Rattus norvegicus: one gene and its partner. The protein of the gene in region 1 binds, or shares a complex with, the protein of each later gene. Links are inferred from orthologs where the notes say so. Each region holds a gene or a part of one and is shown in the gene's direction. Other genes may lie near its edges. The genes, in order: Dlc1 and Tns2.

Region 1 (3,818 bases):
TTTTGAACATTTACACACTATTTTAGGAATTGATGATACTGCGATGATATTAGTGATAGCAGAAAATACATGTATGGATAGAGTATCTGTTCTAAAGCCTTATAATGGAATACACCATGCTTTCTTATCCATAAATTGTGAGTTAATATGAACTACACTGTATTGCTCTGTTTCCTTGTCACTCCTTGGGGTAGGGACATCCTGGTCACTGGGTCTGGTATGAGTTGTTTTACACACTAATGCATTTCACATTCTTCTCCATTGCTCAAGTTTTGCAAGACTGGTTCCCTGATGGCCTTTGTTTCAATACAAACCAAGCAGCAAATCAATTTCCTTAATGGCTTTTGTTCACAAAAGTAAATCAGGAAAGCACACAGAGCCAGAGCAACAAGTTCGTTTTTCCAGTGAATTTTATTAAGCACCGCAATCCAAATATTTTCTTAACGGAGCTTAAAATATTTTGGGTACTTATTTCTTTCTTCATTAATAAACCAGTCCAATTGGTTTTGTAAGTACTGATAAACTTTTACTAAAAATACTAAATGCAAATTTTTCTCTACTATTAGACTGCCTCTAAGAAATAAAACCGTTTAGGCTATTCAGCAAATTTCTTACCTCAGCTTCACAGCACAGATTAGATTCTTTGCCATGAAATACAGTTATGTTGGAAATGTATCTATAACAGCATATTTTCAATTTTTCCACAGATGACAACATGGCAGATTGCACTCTCTTCCTTGACCCATGAATTCAGAATCTTCTCTCCCCGACGTCCATCCCTTTGAGTGTCCTATGGAATGCATCTCCTTGTCTGCCGTTAAACTATGATGACATGTCTGTAGCTCTCAGAAAGAGGAGCTGGGAAGAGCATGTGACCCAGCAGAGCGAACAGCCTTTTAATTCTGATGAGTATGACATAGCATGTCACCACAGACTGGCATCCGACAGCCTGGAGGTAAGGATGGAGAAAGATGAAACCTTAAATGTGGACCATAAAGAGAAGCATGCCTCTCTACCAGACTGCTGTCGTGGGTCAGAGACAAGAGACTCTCCTGGGAGGCCAATGGGTCACATTTCACCGGAAGTGGATGAAAGTGACAGCCAGGAAGGAGAAGAGCGGTTTCTATCGCTCGAGGCCAGCACAGAAACACTAGTGCACATTTCTGATGAAGATACTGACTCCGATCTGCACCTTATCAATGACTCACAGATTTTACCTCCACAAAGACATGAAAGGGACAGCCACGAGAGTGTCAAAGGAGCAGGCTCCTTCAGGAAGACACTGTCCACCATGCAAAGTAGCCAAGATTCTCACAACACCTGGACGATGGCTGGTGAAGCTGAGATATCTGCAGCAGAAGGAGGTGAAGAAAGGAAAGATGGCGACACTATAAGTAAAAGCCTGGAGCATTGTAAGAGTACAAGTGCAAGTGAAACAAATGAGGTGGCCAAAGTAAATACATTCCAGTCTTTGAATGCGAAAGATGACATCACTCCTAAGACACAACTGCTTGATTCTTTGGTACTCGTGAAAGATGTCACACCTGAGACACAACTGCTTGATTCTGCAGTAATCGCTCAACAACACAGGAAACCTGACTTCCCTAACGATGACCAGGAAAAGAATCTGCACCATGTAGTAGAAGAAGACTTCTTAGTGGCTCCTTATACAGACAGAGGGCTGCCATTATTAAAAGCAGATTGCGGAAGCTGCCTTCTGCGGCCTCCTTCCTGCCCTGGTGGAATGTCAGCAGAAAATGACCTGGAGAGGAGTGGGTTCTCAGAATATCAAAACAAAAGCCCTCTCAGGGTCAGTCAGGAAGGTGTCATGCAGTGTTTACACGTAAGGGGCCCAGTGACCACCCAGGAGACCGGAGACAATCAAGTCAGACTGCGCAAGAGAAAGGTAAGCCTCACACGCAGATCATCTGGTTCCTTGAAATGTTGTAAATATCTTTCTTTTCATAACTCATGAATGTGCTTGGGCTGAAAAGGATGCACAGATGTTTTGTTGTCTTTACCCTGTCATGTAGCAAGTACAATTTAAAGGCCGTTCTCTTGATAAAACCCTGAAACTAAGTGAGAGTTGACATACAATAATCTTACAGTTTCACTACCAACATTGAGATAGTTTGTGGCTCTTTAAAAGTGTGTTACAGGGGCTGGGGATTTAGCTCAGTGGTAGAGCGCTTACCTAGGAAGCGCAAGGCCCTGGGTTCGGTCCCCAGCTCCGGAAAAAAATAAAAACAAAAACAAAAAAAAAAACAAAAAAAAAGTGTGTTACGATAGCACTCAACATGGCTCACTTTCCTTGGAATTTAATACTCACCAACAGCATCACCCTGTAGTTCATGGCCTTCTGAAAAGGGACATGTAATTTTTATAAGAAAAACAGCAGTGTATTTAATCTGTCTCACTTGCATGGGCTTGTTTTCCGTTCCTTTCAAAGAGCATGTTTAGTCATTGGCAGCCACATATTTAAAACAAAAACAAAATCAACTTAAGACTAGCGGGATGGCTCAGAGGTTAGGGGCATGTACTTCTCTTCCAAAGGACCAGAGTTCAGTTCTCGGCACCCATGTGGAATGGTTCACAGCTGCCTATAATTCTTCCTCCAGGAGACCCCACGAATGCCCCCTGCCTCTGTGGGCCCCTGCACTTGTGTGTACGAGCCCCGCATGCAGATAAACACATGTACATGTAATTGAGAATAATATAAATCTTAATTCAAAATAACACTCTCAATATGGAAAGACAACGCTTTGCATGTGCTAATATTACTTTAAATGTCACACTCGTACATCTACGATGAGCAGAGGCACCATTATGTCTTTGCCTTGAAAGGGGCGGCGTACATAATATAATTATTTTATACCAAGCCCTTTGAATTATTCTACAGATTCCCCTGAGGAAGAGAAAGAAAGTACAGGGTGGCCCTACATGACTGTGGGTTAGCACTGAGCTCTTATTCATGATTTCAGGCTTCCTTTCCATTTATTTTCTGACGACACAGTACTACATGAACGGATGTTACTCTAAGGGCTGGCTAGTTTCTTCTCTGGTCACTCTTCTGTGGCCATGGAAGAAACTCTGAAGAGAACTTTGTGAAACAGAAGATAGCTATTCTTACTTCTATTTCACGGTGGCCATTCATGCACTGCTTGAGGGGGGGAACCTTTCCAATTACTTCTTATTTCCAAACACTGTGGTTATTTTAACAAACTAGATCATTAAACCGAATGTAGTCATTTCAGCGACGCAAAATGAACTCAAAGAGTGTACGGCAAAAGTCAACATGCTCAGACTAAATCCCAACAGAATATTCTATGCTTCTGGCAAAAACTTTCTTCCTTCTGTATGTTGTATTCAAATGTCAGTGCCCCATGAAGTTATTATGATTGGAATGCTTGGGTCACATTTCCAGAAATTTCCATACATCCTATCCAATCTGTTGAAAAGAATGCAATAAGGACACAAGGAAATATTAACTGATTTATGACATAGCTCCCTAAAATAAGACAAATCTGGCCCAACTGCCTACAGACACATTAAACATTCCTGCAACATATGCTCATGGTTGGACGTTGATATCAATATGAAGAATGCAGGAAGGAATCTGCTCTCCAACGTACTGCTAACGGCTGCACTTGGGAAGCCATAGCTATATCTCATTTGCAAATTCTAATTTAAATTTTCTATTTTAAGTGTTTCAACACCCCAAAGTGTTGCCAGATTATTGGTTGAAATACTTGCTTTGACATTACAACCTTTGGCATGCCTATTGAGAAGGTGGTTACAGTATAAATAATTAGTATTAA
Region 2 (3,818 bases), on another chromosome or scaffold:
TGAGGGGTGGGAGACCGAGAGGCAGAAACAAGGCTCCCTTAAATAGAGGAACCTCAGCTAGAGCTTGTGCTCATCAGGTGACAGGCCCTGCATCTTCCTCCCTGAGGCTGAGCACCCCGTTTCACCAGCTCAGCCTTAAACTCCCACCTCTTTCCAGGTGACTTCATCCTGTCAGGCCTTGCCCCCCGCGGAGCTGGTGAGTGTGCTCAAGGATGGGGCAGGGAAGGCAAGGAACCTGACTAATATCCCGGGGTCTGGTGGTCTCAAAGTGGGTCTCCAGGTTATGTAGTACTGAATGCTGTGGTTTATTGGTCAGTTATCCTCAACAGATGACTGTCGGAGCCCTTCGTTGTGACTGTCTTCTAGGGCTGGTTGGGGACTAGAGTCCTGTCCCCAGGGAGTGGACACTGACATGCGCTCCCACCCCGCCCCCAGGTCCAAACTGGTCCTTGCCCCTGCCCTAACCACTCCCATTTCCTCCCCCACCTCCTCACTCTAGCGGAGAAACACAGCCCCAGTCCGGCGCATAGAACACCTGGTAAGGGATGCTAGGAGCCTGAGCGGGAAGGGGCGGGCGTGTGGGTAGCTCTTGGAGTAGGGACCTACATTTGCAGAAGACCACGGTTTGTAGAACTTTTGACCCGGAAGCTTAGAAGCGATGCATCCAAACAGTTGTCGGCATACGGTTTCTCATCCACCAGGGGTCCACCAAGTCTCTGAACCACTCAAAGCAACGCAGTACTCTACCCAGGTGAGTGAGGACGCCCGGTGATCCCACGTAGGCACTTTCCACTGGACCGCTACTCAGCTTATGGCAGTGGCCGCCAATAAAGCCCCCAGGACAGTACTCCCCCTCCGGGCCACCCACCCTAAGGACCTAATAGGTCGCCCAGAGCTCCCCAGGATCCTTAGCCCCTGGGCCGCCGCGCTTCTCTGTTCTCTAAATCGGCTTTGCGTCCTCTCCCAGGAGCTTCAGCCTGGATCCGCTCATGGAGCGTCGCTGGGACTTGGACCTCACCTATGTAACAGAGCGGATCCTGGCCGCAGCTTTTCCTGCACGACCAGACGAGCAGCGACACCGAGGCCACTTGCGAGAGCTGGCCCATGTGCTTCAATCCAAGCACCGAGACAAGTACCTGGTGAGAAGCGGGTGGGCCAGATCCAACCAATGAGAGGGCTGGGAGATTCAAATGGGGCGAGGCTACTGTTTCCCCATCAATACCTGAGATGGGGCTGGAGAGGGGGCGGTGTTCGCGAGCAGGGGCGGGGCGGGGCGGGGCCGGAGGTTAGCCAGTCACCGCAGGGTGCAGAGAATTCAGCTCCAGCGGATTACAATCTTACTATTTTTAGAGCAAGATGCTCGATGAGGGTTCACCTCCAGCACCTGCATCTCAAGTCACCGTCATCTAACTCTGCCCTTTATTTCAGCTCTTCAACCTTTCAGAGAAACGGCATGACTTGACCCGCCTGAACCCCAAGGTAGGAGGGAAATGGTCTGTTTGCCGTTTATTCCGAGCCAACCTTGTGAAAAGGCTCTGCCTCCTTGTTGACATCCACTTTTCTCACACTACTTAAGATAACTAAAAACGAGGTGCTGGGGTTATCAGCCCACAGTATGGCGGAAAAAAGTGTCCAAGCTACTGTGGACAACTACTAAGTTTGCGCCTTGCCCCCAGGTCCCTGTATTGTATTCACATCTTCCTCCCTTTGTTACACACACACACACACACACACACACACACACACACACACACTTGTACTTGTACTTCCCCAGGTACATGACTTTGGCTGGCCGGAATTACATGCCCCACCTCTGGACAAGTTGTGTTCCATCTGCAAAGCCATGGAGACGTGGCTCAGTGCCGACCCTCAGCATGTGGTCGTGTTATACTGCAAGGTGAGCCAGGACCTTGGGGTAACAGAGCTAGGACAACCTCAGCCTAAAAGTTGCAGGTTCCCCATCTCCATCTCTTTATCTCTTAGGGTAGCAAAGGCAAGCTTGGAGTCATCGTCTCTGCCTATATGCACTATAGCAAGATCTCTGCAGGGTGAGTTGCCCTGCTTCAGTGACCCCTCCTCGTCCGGCCCTGTCTGAGCTTTTTTCTCCTTAGTCAGACTATACACTTGGTACGGTACTGTCTATCTCCAGCTGTGGGCCCAGCACACCACAGCAGAGGAACTGGGCTAGTTTCTTAGGGCCACCAGCTAAGTGCCATAGACTAGCTTAAAATAATATAGCTCAGTTGTCTTACTGTTCTGAGATAGTAAAAGTCCAAAGTCAGTGTCAGTGGGGCCACGCTCTCTCTCTGGGACTCTAGGCGGACTCCTTCCTTGCCTCTTTCCAGCTTCTGGTGGTGCCTGACAGTCCTTGGCAGTTCTTGGCTGGCAGCGGCATCCCTCCACCCCCTGCTTCCGTCATCACGTGGTGTTCTCTTTGCGCGCCTGTTTCTGTCTCTCCTCTTCTAAGGATCAATCACCCTAATTAAGGACCCACCTTGCTCCTGTATGATCTCATCTTAACCTATCTAACCACATCCGCAAAGACCCTATTTCTAAATAAGGTCACATTTGAGGTACATTTCTCTGGGGGAGGGATACAGTTCAACCCATCAGGTTGTCTAACTGCCTCCTTTTAAAAGTGAGGAAAGCCAGGTTCAGTTGCCCAAGGCCCAACAACTGGGCTATGCTGGAGGGTCTCTAGCTCTCTTCACCACCACTGGGAGTTCCTCTGTACAGAGAGGTTCCTCCTTTCCTGGGGTTTAAGAATGGAAGGCAGGGGGTTGGGGATTTAGCTCAGTGGTAGAGCACTTGCCTAGCAAGCACAAGGCCCTGGGTTCGGTCCCCAGCTCCGGAAAAAAAAAAAGAATGGAAGGCAGGCGATCTTCCTAGAAGTGTATGAGTGACAAGCAATAGCATAAAAGTGATATATACATATATATATATATATATATATATATATATATATATACATACACACACATATATATATGTATATATATGCGCTTAGTTTGTAATTGTTCAAGTGATTCATGGGAATACAAGATAAGGCAATTTAAACTTTTTTTAAAAACTTAAAAAAAAAAAAAAAAGAATGGAAGGCAGGAATGGGACCGGTCCTTAACCCCCGACCTCCCCTGCTCTCCCCAGGGCAGACCAAGCGCTGGCAACCCTCACCATGAGGAAATTCTGTGAGGACAAGGCGGCCATGGAACTGCAGCCCTCCCAGCACCGGTGAGCACCCCAGTGGGGAAGGGCTGACTCTCCCTCTCAGGTAGCACACCTGAATCCCACAGTGTACGGGAGCCCAGTGAGCCAGGCCCTGTGCCAAGTTCTGGGAAGTCAGAACAAACAAGGTCAGGCTCCCGTGGTATTTATATGCTAGTAGAGTAGAAGGCAAGAAGCCATGCGTAAACAGACTAGATCGTTCTGGCTGACAGTAAGGTCTGTGACAGGAATAAAGCAGAGGCTTGTAAGACTCCACAGGATGCGCAGGGCTTGCCTCCTTGAAGTTTAGAAGAGCCTTCTAGGTCTCTCAAGAGCTGCCAGGTTGGTGTGAGGCGCCCTCTAGAGGAAGACACTGATGTTTTCTTGGCACTCCCCACCCTCCACCCCCTCGCCAGCTATGTCGGCTATTTCAGCGGGCTGCTGTCAGGCTCCATCAGAATGAACAGCAGCCCTCTCTTCCTGCACTATGTGTTTGTACCCGTGCTGCCAGCCTTTGAGCCCAACACAGGTGAGTCCCCCCGGGCTGTATCCCATGGGGATAGCCACCTCCTACCCCACACCCCTCATGGCTTCTTCCACCCCTCCAGGCTTCC

The links.
Region 2: the proteins of Dlc1 (region 1) and Tns2 are in contact, whole or in part, in an NMR structure (PDB 2LOZ), measured with the Homo sapiens proteins. The link is inferred for Rattus norvegicus from reciprocal best matches to the Homo sapiens genes DLC1 and TNS2. Residues at the interface, in NP_001335010.1 of Homo sapiens: Glu811, Asp812, His813, Lys814, Pro815, Gly816, Thr817, Phe818, Pro819, Ala821, Leu822, Thr823, Asn824; in NP_736610.2 of Homo sapiens: Asp1268, Leu1269, Leu1270, Arg1271, Gln1272, Gly1273, Ala1274, Ala1275, Cys1276, Lys1317, Ser1319, Ala1320, Gln1321, Thr1324, Leu1387, Asp1388, Pro1389, Asp1390, Gln1391, Val1403, Leu1404, Leu1405, Gly1406.

Annotation. Positions count from the first base shown.
Region 1 is NC_086034.1:62,008,265-62,012,082, forward strand, and holds part of Dlc1 (rho GTPase-activating protein 7), read left to right. Parts: intron 1-707; 5' UTR 708-832; coding exon 833-1,906; intron 1,907-3,818. UniProt on the Homo sapiens protein: Functions as a GTPase-activating protein for the small GTPases RHOA, RHOB, RHOC and CDC42, terminating their downstream signaling.
Region 2 is NC_086025.1:135,115,536-135,119,353, forward strand, and holds part of Tns2 (tensin-2), read left to right. Parts: intron 1-157; coding exon 158-196; intron 197-499; coding exon 500-538; intron 539-701; coding exon 702-751; intron 752-967; coding exon 968-1,139; intron 1,140-1,428; coding exon 1,429-1,479; intron 1,480-1,774; coding exon 1,775-1,897; intron 1,898-1,983; coding exon 1,984-2,048; intron 2,049-2,442; exon of another isoform or gene 2,443-2,573; intron 2,574-3,147; coding exon 3,148-3,231; intron 3,232-3,620; coding exon 3,621-3,733; intron 3,734-3,812; coding exon 3,813-3,818. UniProt on the Homo sapiens protein: Tyrosine-protein phosphatase which regulates cell motility, proliferation and muscle-response to insulin. Phosphatase activity is mediated by binding to phosphatidylinositol-3,4,5-triphosphate (PtdIns(3,4,5)P3) via the SH2 domain.